Linked DNA regions of Sus scrofa. The protein of the gene in region 1 binds, or shares a complex with, the protein of each later gene. Links are inferred from orthologs where the notes say so. Each region holds a gene or a part of one and is shown in the gene's direction. Other genes may lie near its edges.

Region 1 (3,586 bases):
GCAGAAAGAGGCAAGGACCTGTAAAATCTCACAGTGGCATCAGTGAGCCTGAAGCATCGGGAGAAGTAGAAATTTCTAGGTGTGTCTGAGTACAGCATGGCGAATGGTGTGGTAACTATGGGGCCAGAGAGAAAGAAAAGACCCCGTGTGCCAAGCTAAGAAGTCTGGACCTCAGGCTACAGGGAGTGGGGAGGCTGGTTGGAAGTGCGTGCAGTAGTCCCAGCAGGAAATGCCGGGGAGTGGGGTGGAGGTGACACAGGCCCCACACTCAGAAGGCTCCTGTGCTTGGTTTGAAGCTCTGCTGTCATTTTTAGAAATTCTTCATTTTGAATACGGGGCTCTCCATTTTCATTTTTGCCCTGAACCTTGCAAATTATATAGTTACTCCTGCTGAGGAGGCTCCAAGAGTCCTCCCCTCCCTCTTCTTGTCACCCCCATGTCACTGATGTTTCTGTCTTCCTTGGTGATGGTGACAGAGTTATCACCTAAGTGGGCACTCCCAGACCAAATCTCTTAACCAGCCAAGGAGTGATTCCAAATCTTTATTTCCTCCCACTTATTTTTTATTTGTCTTTTTTTTTTTTTCCCTTAGGGCTGCACTCATGGCATATGGAGGTTCCCAGGTTAGGGGTCGAATCGGAGCTACACCTGCCGGCCTGAGCTACCACTGCCGGCCCAAGCCACAGCCACAGCAATGAAGGATCCAAGCTGCATCTGTGACCTACACCAAGCTCACGGCAATGCCGGATCTTTAACCCGCTGACCAAGGCCAGGAATTGAACCCTCATCCTCATGGATCCTAGTCAGGTTTGTTAACCACTGAGCCATGATGGGAATTCCTATTCCCTCCCATTTAAACAGATATGTGGAGCCAAGAGGCCATTTTCACTGAACATGACCAGGAAGCTTAGCTGAGAAGTTGACACACTGCTTCATAATTATGTTGATTTGTTGGTTATAGTTCAAAGTCCAAGTGATAACGCATCTTGAAAGAACAATGATGAAATTCAAGTGCTGTTGTCCCTGCCTTAGACCACGTTAGGTCCAGTGGCAAGTGGCATTTCCCTGAGCCTGGCTAGTGAGCAAATTACCCTCCCAGCTTGTCTTTGATCAGCTTGGCCAAGGCTACGGGAACATTACCCAGGCTGCTACGGTGAGTCAATTTGGACTCTAGCAGCTGTGTTTCAGACTGTAAGCCTCCAGCTGCAGCAACCTGGAGCAGATTTGGGGTCCTGTTTCTCTAGGAAGGGAAATGGGTTTCAAGGTACTGTCCACACTGCCATTCCTGCTTATTTTGTCATCTAGATTATTTCTTTCTTTCTTTCTTTTTTTTTTTTTTTTTTTTTTTGTCTTTTTTGCCTTTTCTAGAGCCGCACCTGCAGCATATAGAGGTTCCCAGGCTAGGAGTCGAATCAGAGCTGTAGCCACCAGCCTGTACCACAGCCATAGCAACACGGGATCTGAGCCGCGTCTGCAACCTACACCACAGCTCACGGCAATGCCGGATCCTTAACCCACTGAGCAAGGCCAGGGATCGAACCCGCAACCTCATGGTTCCTAGTCGGATTCGTTAACCACTGAGCCACCACGGGAACTCCTCGTCTAGGTTATTTCTTACTGTTGTTGGAAGGGTGACACAACTTTCATACTCAGCTAGTTTTTTTTTTTTAATTTTTATGCTCGCACCTGGGGCACATGGAAGCTCCTGGGCTAGGGATAGAATCAGAGCTGCAGCTGGAACCGCAGCCATAGTAACACGGATCTGAGCTGCATCTGAATCCTGCACTGCAGCTGCATCCTGTGCTGCAGCTTGCGGCAACCCCAGGTCCTTAAGCCACACAGGAACTCCATCATGTTGAGTTTTTTTGTTTGTTTGTTCATGTTTTAGGACCGCACCCACCCATATGGAGGTTCCCAGGCTAGGGGTCGAATTGGTGCTGTTGCTGCTGGCCTACACCACAGTCACAGCAAAGCAAGGATCCAAGCCATGTCTGCCACCTACCCCACAGCTCACGGCAGCGCCAGATCCTTAACCCACTGAGTGAGGCCAGGGATCGAACCTGTGTCCTCATGGATGCTAGTCAGGTTCGTTAACCGCTGAGCCACAACAGGAACTCCATCATGTTGAGTTTTTAATATATAAAATGCTTTCATATACACATGCCTTCTTGAATCCTAATGACGATCTTGTGATAGGGGACTTACTGTCCCCATTTAAGATGAAGAAACAGGCCAAGAAAGCGGTTCTGCCCCTGCTCTTCTGGGCTGGCCGGCTTTCTGTCACCTGACAGCTCCTTCACAGACTGTGTGACACCATCATAGTTGAGATGTTTTCTCACTTGATTCTGATTTAGAAGAGTTCACATGTGCCTTTTGGGGACTTGAGGTTTGGCACTCGATGCTCTCAGAATGCCATACAAGTGGCCTTTTGGAACAGCACAGGTCCTGGCATTAACTAGCCCAGGATTCCCTAGAGAGACTCTAGAGGTGCAGTTCTAGGGACAAGACACACGAGGGCGCCCTCCCCAGCTGGCTGTGTTGGGTCAGGATGGCACCCGTGACCCCAATTGTCTCTATGGAGAATAGCTCCTCTGGGCAGATCAGGGCAGCTTCCAGAGGATTCCAGCTGTGCGCTGAGCCTGGTCTCTGGACATTAAATGTTCCTGTTATTAGTCTCCCATATGTGTCCTGGTGAGGCCCAGAGGAGGTGCAGCCTCATGGCAGAATGGTGACATTGGCAAAGTTTGGGCCCCTGAATCCCCATCCTCCTCGTTCTAAAATCTTTTTTGGTGATTTTGGAGTTTCCAGGTGGCTCAGTTGGAATCCAGCATTGTCACTGCTGTGGCTCTGGTTACTGCTGTGGCTCAGGTTTGATCCCTGGCTTAGAAACTTCCGCATGCCAAAAAATAAAAACGTAAAAATTAAAAAAAAAAAAAATCTTTTGGTGATTTAGAGACATTAGAAATGTTAAAGTTTGTGCCAGTGTTAGGGCTGTCCAGGTGGTAGGATGACAGAGAGACCCCTAGACTCTGAAGCTGGAGATCTGGTCCTGTCCCAGATGTGGAACCCACCCCTCCCCAGACCTCAGGGAGGTTAAGGCCCTTCTAGTCCTTTCCACGATCCCTCAGGGGCCTCTCTGCCGAAGGCCCTCCTCTCCCCACAGTGTCCTCGGTTCTCCCCTCAGCTTATTCCGTTCATTGCATCGGTGGGTGCTGGTGAGTCCCACCTGTGTGGGTCCAGGCCGCAGTGCTCAGGCCTGGGGTCCATCTACGTGTGTCTTGTTCCCACAGGACTGCAGGATCCTCCTGTCTGTGGAGCCCACGGACCAAGGCTGCTACCCTCTGAACAACCGTCTCTTCTGCAAGCCGTGCCACGTGAAGCGGAGCGCGGCGAGCTGCTGCTGAGGGCACCCGTGGGCTGGGGCCAAGGTCGCACACTAGCCCCGCTCGGGGCCCCTCCCTAACTTGTTTCCCTTCCTCTCCTGCTCTTGCACACTTTCCTTCCTAGCCGCACCGGGACCAGCCTGAGGCTCGGCCCATCATGTCCTGGATTCGGGGCTGAGCCTCCTCCCAGCTCAGAGCTGGAT
Region 2 (4,051 bases), on another chromosome or scaffold:
GGAGAAAGTCTGACCTAAAGGGGACACCAGGAGGTGTGGGACACACACATCCTACAGAATTGCAGGATACGTATTCTCTTTACACAAGTATGTCCTTCTGCTTTTCCAACTCACCCCAGGCCAGCTGCTCTCTTTAAGTGTCTCCGTTGCCCTGCTGTCACCACTCCCTAGGCCTCCAGCTGCCTTGGTTTACCCCGAGCCCAGTCCTGCCCAGGCCTCCTGGCAGGCTCCCTGGGGCTCTCCCTGCCCACCAGCCCCAAAGTGTCTCCCCTTGGCTGCTCTAGGCCGGGCTCTCCTGTCTCTGTCTGGCTAACCTGCCCTTTGACTTGAAGGATCTGCCCTGTGGCCCAAATGGGCACACTGCCCAGGGGGCTTCCGGGTACTACTGTACCGAGGCCCTCCCTCCCCTCTCATCACCTTGGTTGAGTCAGAACTGGGGGTGGGGGGGCACCGTGTGACTCACTGGGTACCCTTCTCCTGAGCTCAGCTTCATTCTGAGAGGATGAGGACAAACAGGCTGGTGACAGGGACACTGAGTCAGGGGTAGCCGCCGTCTTTCCCCTGGGACCCTGGGTTTGGGCTTCAGGTGAGACTTTTTACCCATCAAGGGGAGCACCCCTACTCTAAGGCTTCTCGGGTTGGGCAGCGTCTGTCTATCTGCACACAAGCACACACACTTCCCTTCCCTGTCCGCAGGTGGACAATACCCTGGGCTAGACGCCAGGACTCCCAGGCCCTGTCAACAGCCCTGCCACCAACCAATCCAGAAAGTTCTGTCAACACCCGATCAGCGTGTTTTGCCCTAACCACTGGACTTAGTTTCCCCAGGAGCCTCTCATCTCGCCGGTGGCGGGGTATATGCCCGACCGGCGATGTTCAGCTTTGGGGTGTTGGCGGCCCTCACCCCTCACTTTCCAGCTCTGCTCTCCACCTTTCCCGCGCGGCGGCGGCGGCGGCGCCCGGCCCCGAGCCTCCCCGGGGCCGCGCCCCGGGCCGGGGGCGGTAGACCCCCTCCCGCGGGCGGCCGGGTGGGGGAGGGGGAGGGAGGCGGGGCCGGCGGGCTCGGCGCGGCCCCCACCCGCGGGCCGGGCGGCATTCCTGGGAGGCCGGCGCTCTGACGTGGACCCGGGGGCCGCGGGCGCGGCGGGGGGGACGCGGCCCGGGGGCTTCTTAAACCCCCCGCCCCAGCCCAGCCCGCACTTCCCGAGCACCGCTCCGCCCCCGGAGGGAGAGAGACCGAGAGAGCGCCCGCGGCCGAGGAGCCGAGGAGGCCCGCCGAGTCCCGCCAGCCAGAGGCGCGAGAGAAGTTGAGAGCAGCGCACCGCGCAGCGCAGAGCCGCGAGTCCCGCGATCGCGCCCCGACAGCGCCTCCAGCCCGAGCCCAGCCCGCCGCCCCCAGCCAGACCCCAGCCGGCAGCGCAGCCCCCGCCCCAGCCGGCGCCGGAATGATGAACAACAGCGGTTACTCCGAGGCCGCGGGCCTCGGCCTGGGCGACGAGGTGGACGACATGCCCTCTACAGAGAAGGACCTGGCCGAGGACGCGCCGTGGAAGAAGATCCAGCAGAACACGTTCACTCGCTGGTGCAATGAGCACCTCAAGTGCGTGGGCAAGCGCCTGACCGACCTGCAGCGAGACCTCAGCGACGGGCTGCGCCTCATCGCGCTGCTCGAGGTGCTCAGCCAGAAGCGCATGTACCGCAAGTTTCACCCGCGCCCCAACTTCCGCCAGATGAAGCTGGAGAACGTGTCCGTGGCCCTCGAGTTCCTCGAGCGCGAGCATATCAAGCTCGTGTCCATCGGTCAGTGCGGGCAGGGAGGGGGACATACCCCGAGGAGGGGCTGGCCGGTGGGGCCAGGGGACGCAGGTGCCGGGTGGGCGCGCGGAGAGCCGAGACAGGGCGGGGAGCGCCCCGGCTCCGGGAGGGGACCCTGGCTCGGCTCTCCCGCCCGCCGACACAGGCGCGCCGGGCCCGGCCCTCACATCCCTCTCTGGACGGCTGGCATCCCGAGGGGGCCCAGGGGAGTCCAGACCCGACTGTTCTGAGTCCTCCAGCTTCAGCCTCCCTCGCACGCTCCCAGCGACCCGCCTCCACTCATCGTCCCCTTTCCTGCCCTCCGCAACCCAGGCCAGGCTTGAGAGGACAGGGCCAGGGACCAACACGGATTCCCGGGGGCACCTCCCCCCAAACAAAGCAAATGGCTTCTCAGTCTCCTAGCACCTCCACCGCGGAGGAGCGGCTGAAGACAGGTCCCGAGCGCTGCCCGATCTCAGCGCTCAGAGGGAGAGCTGGGGGCCGGGCGGGCGCGGGGCCCGGGCCCCCCGCAGGCATGTGCTCGGCAGCTGGGTTCGGGCGCAGGGGCCTGGGCGGGCAGGGCCCAGCCTCGGAAACCTAAAAAGGCTCTGAGCGACCGCGGGGATCCTTAACCCCTGCCTGTCCTCCACCGGCTCCAACCAGCCGGGGAAGGGGCTCCCTCCCGTCCACGCCCGGCCCCAACCCACCCCCTAGCCCCTGATTGGCTGCGGCTAATAGTCTGGGCTGAGGGGTGGGAGGGAAGGCCTGGAGAAGGGAGGAAGTCTTTGAGTGTAACCAGATTTGGAAGGTGTGTCACTGCTGGGTGGGGGTGGGGAGGCACTCCAGCGTTGGGAGTGGGGAGCCAAGGGTGGGCTCTGAGAAGAGAGGGGCAGGCCCTGCAGTCATCCTCGCAAGCTGGGGGCCTAGCGAACCCCCTCCTCCTGTGGTGAGCTCTCCAGAGCCTTGCCTTGATTTGCAGGAAAGGGCCCCTTGGCGGGGTGCACCCCCAGGCACCAGGAAGGGAGATTCACAGGGGGTCTGATACCCCCCAGGCTACCCCAGAGACTTATTTAGATAATTGAAGGTCTGTCCACACCCCAGCCCCCTCAGGGCATCTCTGGGCCGCCTGAATTAGCAGCTGAGGTCAGTCTGGGGCCCTTTGCCCTGTCCGGCCCCCTCTCTAGGCCTTACCCCCTCCTGCCCCAATTCTGCCCCCCCACCCCACCCTCACTGGCCTGGAAATAGCCCTGCCTCCGTGACACAGCAGATGTCTCTGAGCTTTCCAGAAGGACAAGCCTGAGGACAGGGGGTGGGGGAGGGGGTCCTGGTATATGTATTAGAGCTGAGGGCTGCTTGAGAGCTTCTGTGGTGGGGGGGGCAGGGGTCAGAGAGGAGTCAGGCCAGGGGGCGGCCATCCCCCAGCAGCTGGAATTTGACCGACTGGACTGATTGTCCCAGGTGGGGTCTCAGGGGGACAGCCTGGGGCCTCACCAGGACTTTATAGGAAATGGCTCAGCCTTGCCCTCCCCTCACCGCTGTGGGGGCGCTCGGCCCCTCTCCAGGCCTCATCCTTCCTGAGCACACCTCGCCCCTCCCCCACGGCGGTGCCTGGCTCCGGCCCCCTTGGCTCAACTGTGTGTGGAGAGGCCGGCTCAGAATAGAGGGGGAAGAAGCAAAAGTTGGTTTGGGGGGCGGGAGGGAACCCTCCATTCCCCTTCCTGCAGAGGGGTAGGGGAACCGGCCCCATTTGGGCCAAGTGGCTCATTCCCTCCGCCACCGATGAGATAAGCTGTCAGCAATTCAGCTGCTAGACCTGAGGCTGAGGCTGGAGGGGAAGGGGCACAGCCGGCAGGGGCTGCCCAACCCCGGGGAGATGTAGCGGGTTCCCCACCAGGCAGGCATCCTGCTTCCTCTAGTTCCTTCTGGCCTGGGGGTGGGAAGGGGTTGGCGTGGGGCCTCCTGGGCATCATGTCAGGACTGAAATTGGCTATCTGGGCACCTGGGAGGAGGTCAAAAAGATCCCCCACTTCCTTTTCTAGGCGCAGGGTGGGAGCGGGTAGCTGAGCAGCGCCCCTGAAGGAGGTAGGGGTACTCAGCCTGGGTTGAAGGAGCCGAGTGCCCTTCTTACCCCCGCCACCCCCTCGGCCCCTCCGAACAAAGAGGCCTGTGAGGCGGCTCTGTCCCGCAGCTGTTCCCCAGTTGCTATTCCTTCTCCGTGAGCCAAGCAAGCGCCAAGGGAGGGGCTGGAGGGGGCAGC
Region 3 (3,586 bases), on another chromosome or scaffold:
GCTCTGCCCCCCCACACCACCCAGAGACTCCCCCTCCTGCCCGGGCTGCTGGGCCTGCGGGTGTGCTGCCCCCCAGCCCACGTGGCCATGTCCGTGTGCGCCCGTCGGCCGGCCTGCCCAGCTCTGCCGCTCCCTCCCCATGCAGACAGCAAGGCCATCGTGGACGGGAACCTCAAGCTGATCCTGGGCCTCATCTGGACGCTGATCCTGCACTACTCCATCTCCATGCCCATGTGGGATGAGGAGGAGGACGAGGAGGCCAAGAAACAGACCCCCAAGCAGAGGCTCCTGGGCTGGATCCAGAACAAGCTGCCGCAGCTGCCCATCACCAACTTCAGCCGGGACTGGCAGAGCGGCAGGGCCCTGGGCGCCCTTGTCGACAGCTGTGCTCCAGGTGCGCGGGGGCTAGGGGGCTGCCTGCGGGGCGGGGCGGGGCGGGGGGGGGGGGGAGGCGGGGTTGGTGCGCAGGGAGGTCCCGCGTGCCCGCGGACTCACGGCCTTCCTCACACCGCAGGCCTGTGTCCCGACTGGGACTCTTGGGATGCCAGCAAGCCGGTGAACAACGCGCGGGAAGCCATGCAGCAGGCCGACGACTGGCTGGGCATCCCTCAGGTACCGTGGGCCGCCTGGGGCTGAGGTGCTGCGTCCCTGGATCCTGGGACTCGCAGGCCAAACGGCTTCTTCTTCCACTCGTGACAGGTGATCACCCCTGAGGAGATCGTGGACCCCAACGTGGACGAGCACTCCGTGATGACCTACCTGTCGCAGTTCCCCAAGGCCAAGCTGAAACCAGGGGCTCCCCTGCGGCCCAAGCTAAATCCGAAGAAGGCCCGAGCCTACGGGCCAGGTGAGGGGGCCCGCCGGGGTGCTCCTGCTCAAAGACCTCCCCGGGGGGGCGGTCCTCTCTCTCGAGGTCTCGCGGCGGCTAGTGTGTCACACGCCCCCATGGGTCAGACGGGAGGGGGTCAGGACCGGTGGGAACCGGCCACCGGCTGGGACATTCCCCATGGCCCATCCGCCTGCGGCGGAGCGTGTTCCAGGAGGCAGGAGCACAGGCCCAGGCAAACTCAAGGGAGCATTCTAGAAAACAGGCCCAGGCCTGCCCCACGGCAGGCGTGTGGCGGGGGCTGAAGGCCAGGCTCTGTGCCCGGTTCCGTGGGCGCCCGCCCGGCGGGCTTGGGCAGGCTGGTGGGGGGCAGCGGCCCTAACCGGCAGCCCCTTCCTCCCTGGCCCCGGGCAGGCATCGAGCCGACGGGCAACATGGTGAAGAAGCGGGCTGAGTTCACTGTGGAGACCAGAAGCGCCGGCCAGGGAGAGGTGCTGGTGTACGTGGAGGACCCAGCCGGGCACCAGGAGGAGGTAGGACTGCCGCCAAGCAGGGCGGTGGCTGCCGCGCCTCCACCGGGAGGGGCCACTCTGACCAGAGGCTCATGGGCTCCTTCCCACCCTAGGCGAAGGTGACCGCCAATAACGACAAGAACCGCACCTTCTCTGTCTGGTATGTCCCCGAGGTGACGGGGACTCACAAGGTGAGCCCTCGGCCGGAGGGGAGGCTGGTGGCGAGGGCAGTCGCTGGAGGGCCCCGACCCTGCCCTCACAGCCCGCCCCTCCTGGGAACAGGTCACCGTGCTCTTCGCCGGCCAGCACATCGCCAAGAGCCCCTTCGAGGTGTATGTGGACAAGTCCCAGGGCGACGCCAGCAAAGTGACGGCCCAGGGCCCCGGCCTGGAGCCCAGCGGCAACATCGCCAACAAGACCACCTACTTCGAGATTTTCACAGCAGGTGAGGGGGGTGGGGTGCCAAGGCCGGCAGCCCTGGGGGAAGGGCTGCCAGGGCCTGGGAGCAGCCTGGGGGCTCTGGGAGCTGAGACGGTGCCTCGTGGCAGGAGCCGGCTCGGGCGAAGTGGAGGTCGTGATCCAGGACCCTGCGGGACAGAAGGGTACCGTGGAGCCTCAGCTGGAGGCCCGGGGCGACAGCACGTACCGCTGCAGCTACCAGCCCACCATGGAGGGCGTGCACACGGTGCACGTCACCTTCGCCGGCGTGCCCATCCCGCGCAGCCCCTACACTGTCGCTGTTGGCCAAGGTAGGCCAGCCCCGGCAGCCTCCGTGGGGCACGGCTGCGGCCCTGCAGCCGCGGGAGGGGAGGCGGCCCCCGCCCCGTCCCCTGGGGCTGTCTGTGCCTCCGCTGTCTGGGGAAGCTCTTTCTTCCCCTGCGGGGGCCTCCTCCTCCTTCTCTCGCCTCTCCGTCTCTCTCTCTCCACGCTTTCACCTTCGGAAGAGCTCGCTCCAGCTGTCTAGAAACCCGCTGCTCTCTGCTCTGCCCACAGGGTCCACGGTACTTGGATCTGTCTTGCTCTGGGTGCTGGGAGGGGCGGGCCGGGTGGGGGCCGGGGGCGGGGGCGGACGGAGCAGGTGGGAGGAGGCCTGCCACGTCCAGCCTGGACCGCAGGTCCCAGGGTCACGGTCCCTTCCGGATCTTCCTCACACATCCCTCGCCCTCCTGTGCGGCCCGACGGCCTGGCCCGGCCCCGCGGGAGGCAGGGGAGGGTTGGCCAGGCCCCAGCTCCCAGGAGCTCAGCCAGCCCTCCGTTCACAGCCTGTAACCCAGGCGCCTGCCGTGCCGTCGGCCGGGGCCTGCAACCCAAAGGTGTGCGCGTGAAAGAGGTTGCCGACTTCAAGGTGTACACGAAAGGCGCGGGCAGCGGGGAGCTGAAGGTCGTCGTGAAGGGTCCCAGTAAGTTGGCCTGCAGCCGGGGTGGGTGCTGCCGGCCTCGGGCGGCGGCTGGGCGGCAGCCTGAGGCCCTCCCTTGTCCCTGGCAGAGGGCGAAGAGCGCGTGAAACAGAAGGACCTGGGGGATGGCGTCTACGGCTTCGAGTATTACCCCACGGTCCCCGGCACCTACACCGTCACCATCACGTGGGGTGGCCAGAACATCGGGCGCAGGTGAGGCCTGGGCCGGGCGCCCCTCCCCCCTGCCGGGCTCGCCGTGGGCGCTGGGCACTCCCCTGCGTGGCTCTCTCCTTGCAGCCCCTTTGAGGTGAAGGTGGGCACCGAGTGTGGCAATCAGAAGGTGCGGGCCTGGGGCCCCGGGCTGGAGGGTGGCGTCGTTGGCAAGTCGGCCGACTTCGTGGTGGAGGCCATCGGGGACGATGTCGGCACCCTGGGTGAGTTGGCAGCTGGGGGCAGAGCGTGGCGAGGGCCGCCCCGCCGAGGCTCCAGGGTGCTGACGGAGCTGGCGGCTGTCGGCAGGCTTCTCGGTGGAGGGCCCGTCGCAGGCCAAGATCGAGTGTGACGACAAGGGCGACGGCTCCTGCGACGTGCGCTACTGGCCGCAGGAGGCCGGCGAGTACGCGGTGCACGTGCTGTGCAACAGCGAGGACATCCGCCTCAGCCCCTTCATGGCCGACATCCGCGAGGCGCCCCCCGACTTCCATCCCGACAGGGTAGGGGGTGTGTGCCGCCGGCCGGGAGGCTAGGCTGGTGCCCCTGATGGCTGGTAGGGCTCCTGCCGCGCCGTCTCTGGCATTGACACCTGGCCCCTGAGCCTTGCGTGGTCTCTTGTCAGGTGAAGGCACGCGGGC

The links.
Region 2: the proteins of FBLIM1 (region 1) and FLNC are in contact, whole or in part, in an NMR structure (PDB 2K9U), measured with the Homo sapiens proteins. The link is inferred for Sus scrofa from reciprocal best matches to the Homo sapiens genes FBLIM1 and FLNC. Residues at the interface, in NP_001337080.1 of Homo sapiens: Arg8, Val9, Ala10, Ser11, Ser12, Val13, Phe14, Ile15, Thr16, Leu17, Pro19; in NP_001449.3 of Homo sapiens: Thr2339, Ala2344, Gly2345, Gly2346, Leu2347, Ser2348, Ile2349, Ala2350, Val2351, Glu2352, Gly2353, Pro2354, Ser2355, Lys2356, Ile2359, Phe2361, Asp2380, Glu2382, Phe2387.
Region 3: the proteins of FBLIM1 (region 1) and FLNA are in contact, whole or in part, in a crystal structure (PDB 4P3W), measured with the Homo sapiens proteins. The link is inferred for Sus scrofa from reciprocal best matches to the Homo sapiens genes FBLIM1 and FLNA. Residues at the interface, in NP_001337080.1 of Homo sapiens: Lys7, Arg8, Val9, Ala10, Ser11, Ser12, Val13, Phe14, Ile15, Thr16, Leu17, Ala18, Pro19, Pro20; in NP_001104026.1 of Homo sapiens: Met2207, Gly2208, Thr2263, Arg2264, Gly2267, Ala2268, Gly2269, Gly2270, Leu2271, Ala2272, Ile2273, Ala2274, Val2275, Glu2276, Gly2277, Pro2278, Ser2279, Lys2280, Ala2281, Ile2283, Phe2285, Cys2293, Glu2306, Phe2311.

Annotation. Positions count from the first base shown.
Region 1 is NC_010448.4:74,957,313-74,960,898, forward strand, and holds part of FBLIM1 (filamin-binding LIM protein 1), read left to right. Parts: intron 1-3,290; coding exon 3,291-3,404; 3' UTR 3,405-3,586. UniProt on the Homo sapiens protein: Serves as an anchoring site for cell-ECM adhesion proteins and filamin-containing actin filaments. Is implicated in cell shape modulation (spreading) and motility.
Region 2 is NC_010460.4:19,784,766-19,788,816, reverse strand, and holds the start of FLNC (filamin-C), read left to right. Parts: upstream 1-1,200; 5' UTR 1,201-1,445; coding exon 1,446-1,800; intron 1,801-4,051.
Region 3 is NC_010461.5:124,896,611-124,900,196, forward strand, and holds part of FLNA (filamin-A), read left to right. Parts: intron 1-145; coding exon 146-394; intron 395-514; coding exon 515-612; intron 613-699; coding exon 700-847; intron 848-1,240; coding exon 1,241-1,359; intron 1,360-1,451; coding exon 1,452-1,529; intron 1,530-1,620; coding exon 1,621-1,783; intron 1,784-1,886; coding exon 1,887-2,087; intron 2,088-2,594; exon of another isoform or gene 2,595-2,600; coding exon 2,601-2,738; intron 2,739-2,824; coding exon 2,825-2,948; intron 2,949-3,032; coding exon 3,033-3,169; intron 3,170-3,254; coding exon 3,255-3,448; intron 3,449-3,570; coding exon 3,571-3,586. UniProt on the Homo sapiens protein: Promotes orthogonal branching of actin filaments and links actin filaments to membrane glycoproteins. Anchors various transmembrane proteins to the actin cytoskeleton and serves as a scaffold for a wide range of cytoplasmic signaling proteins.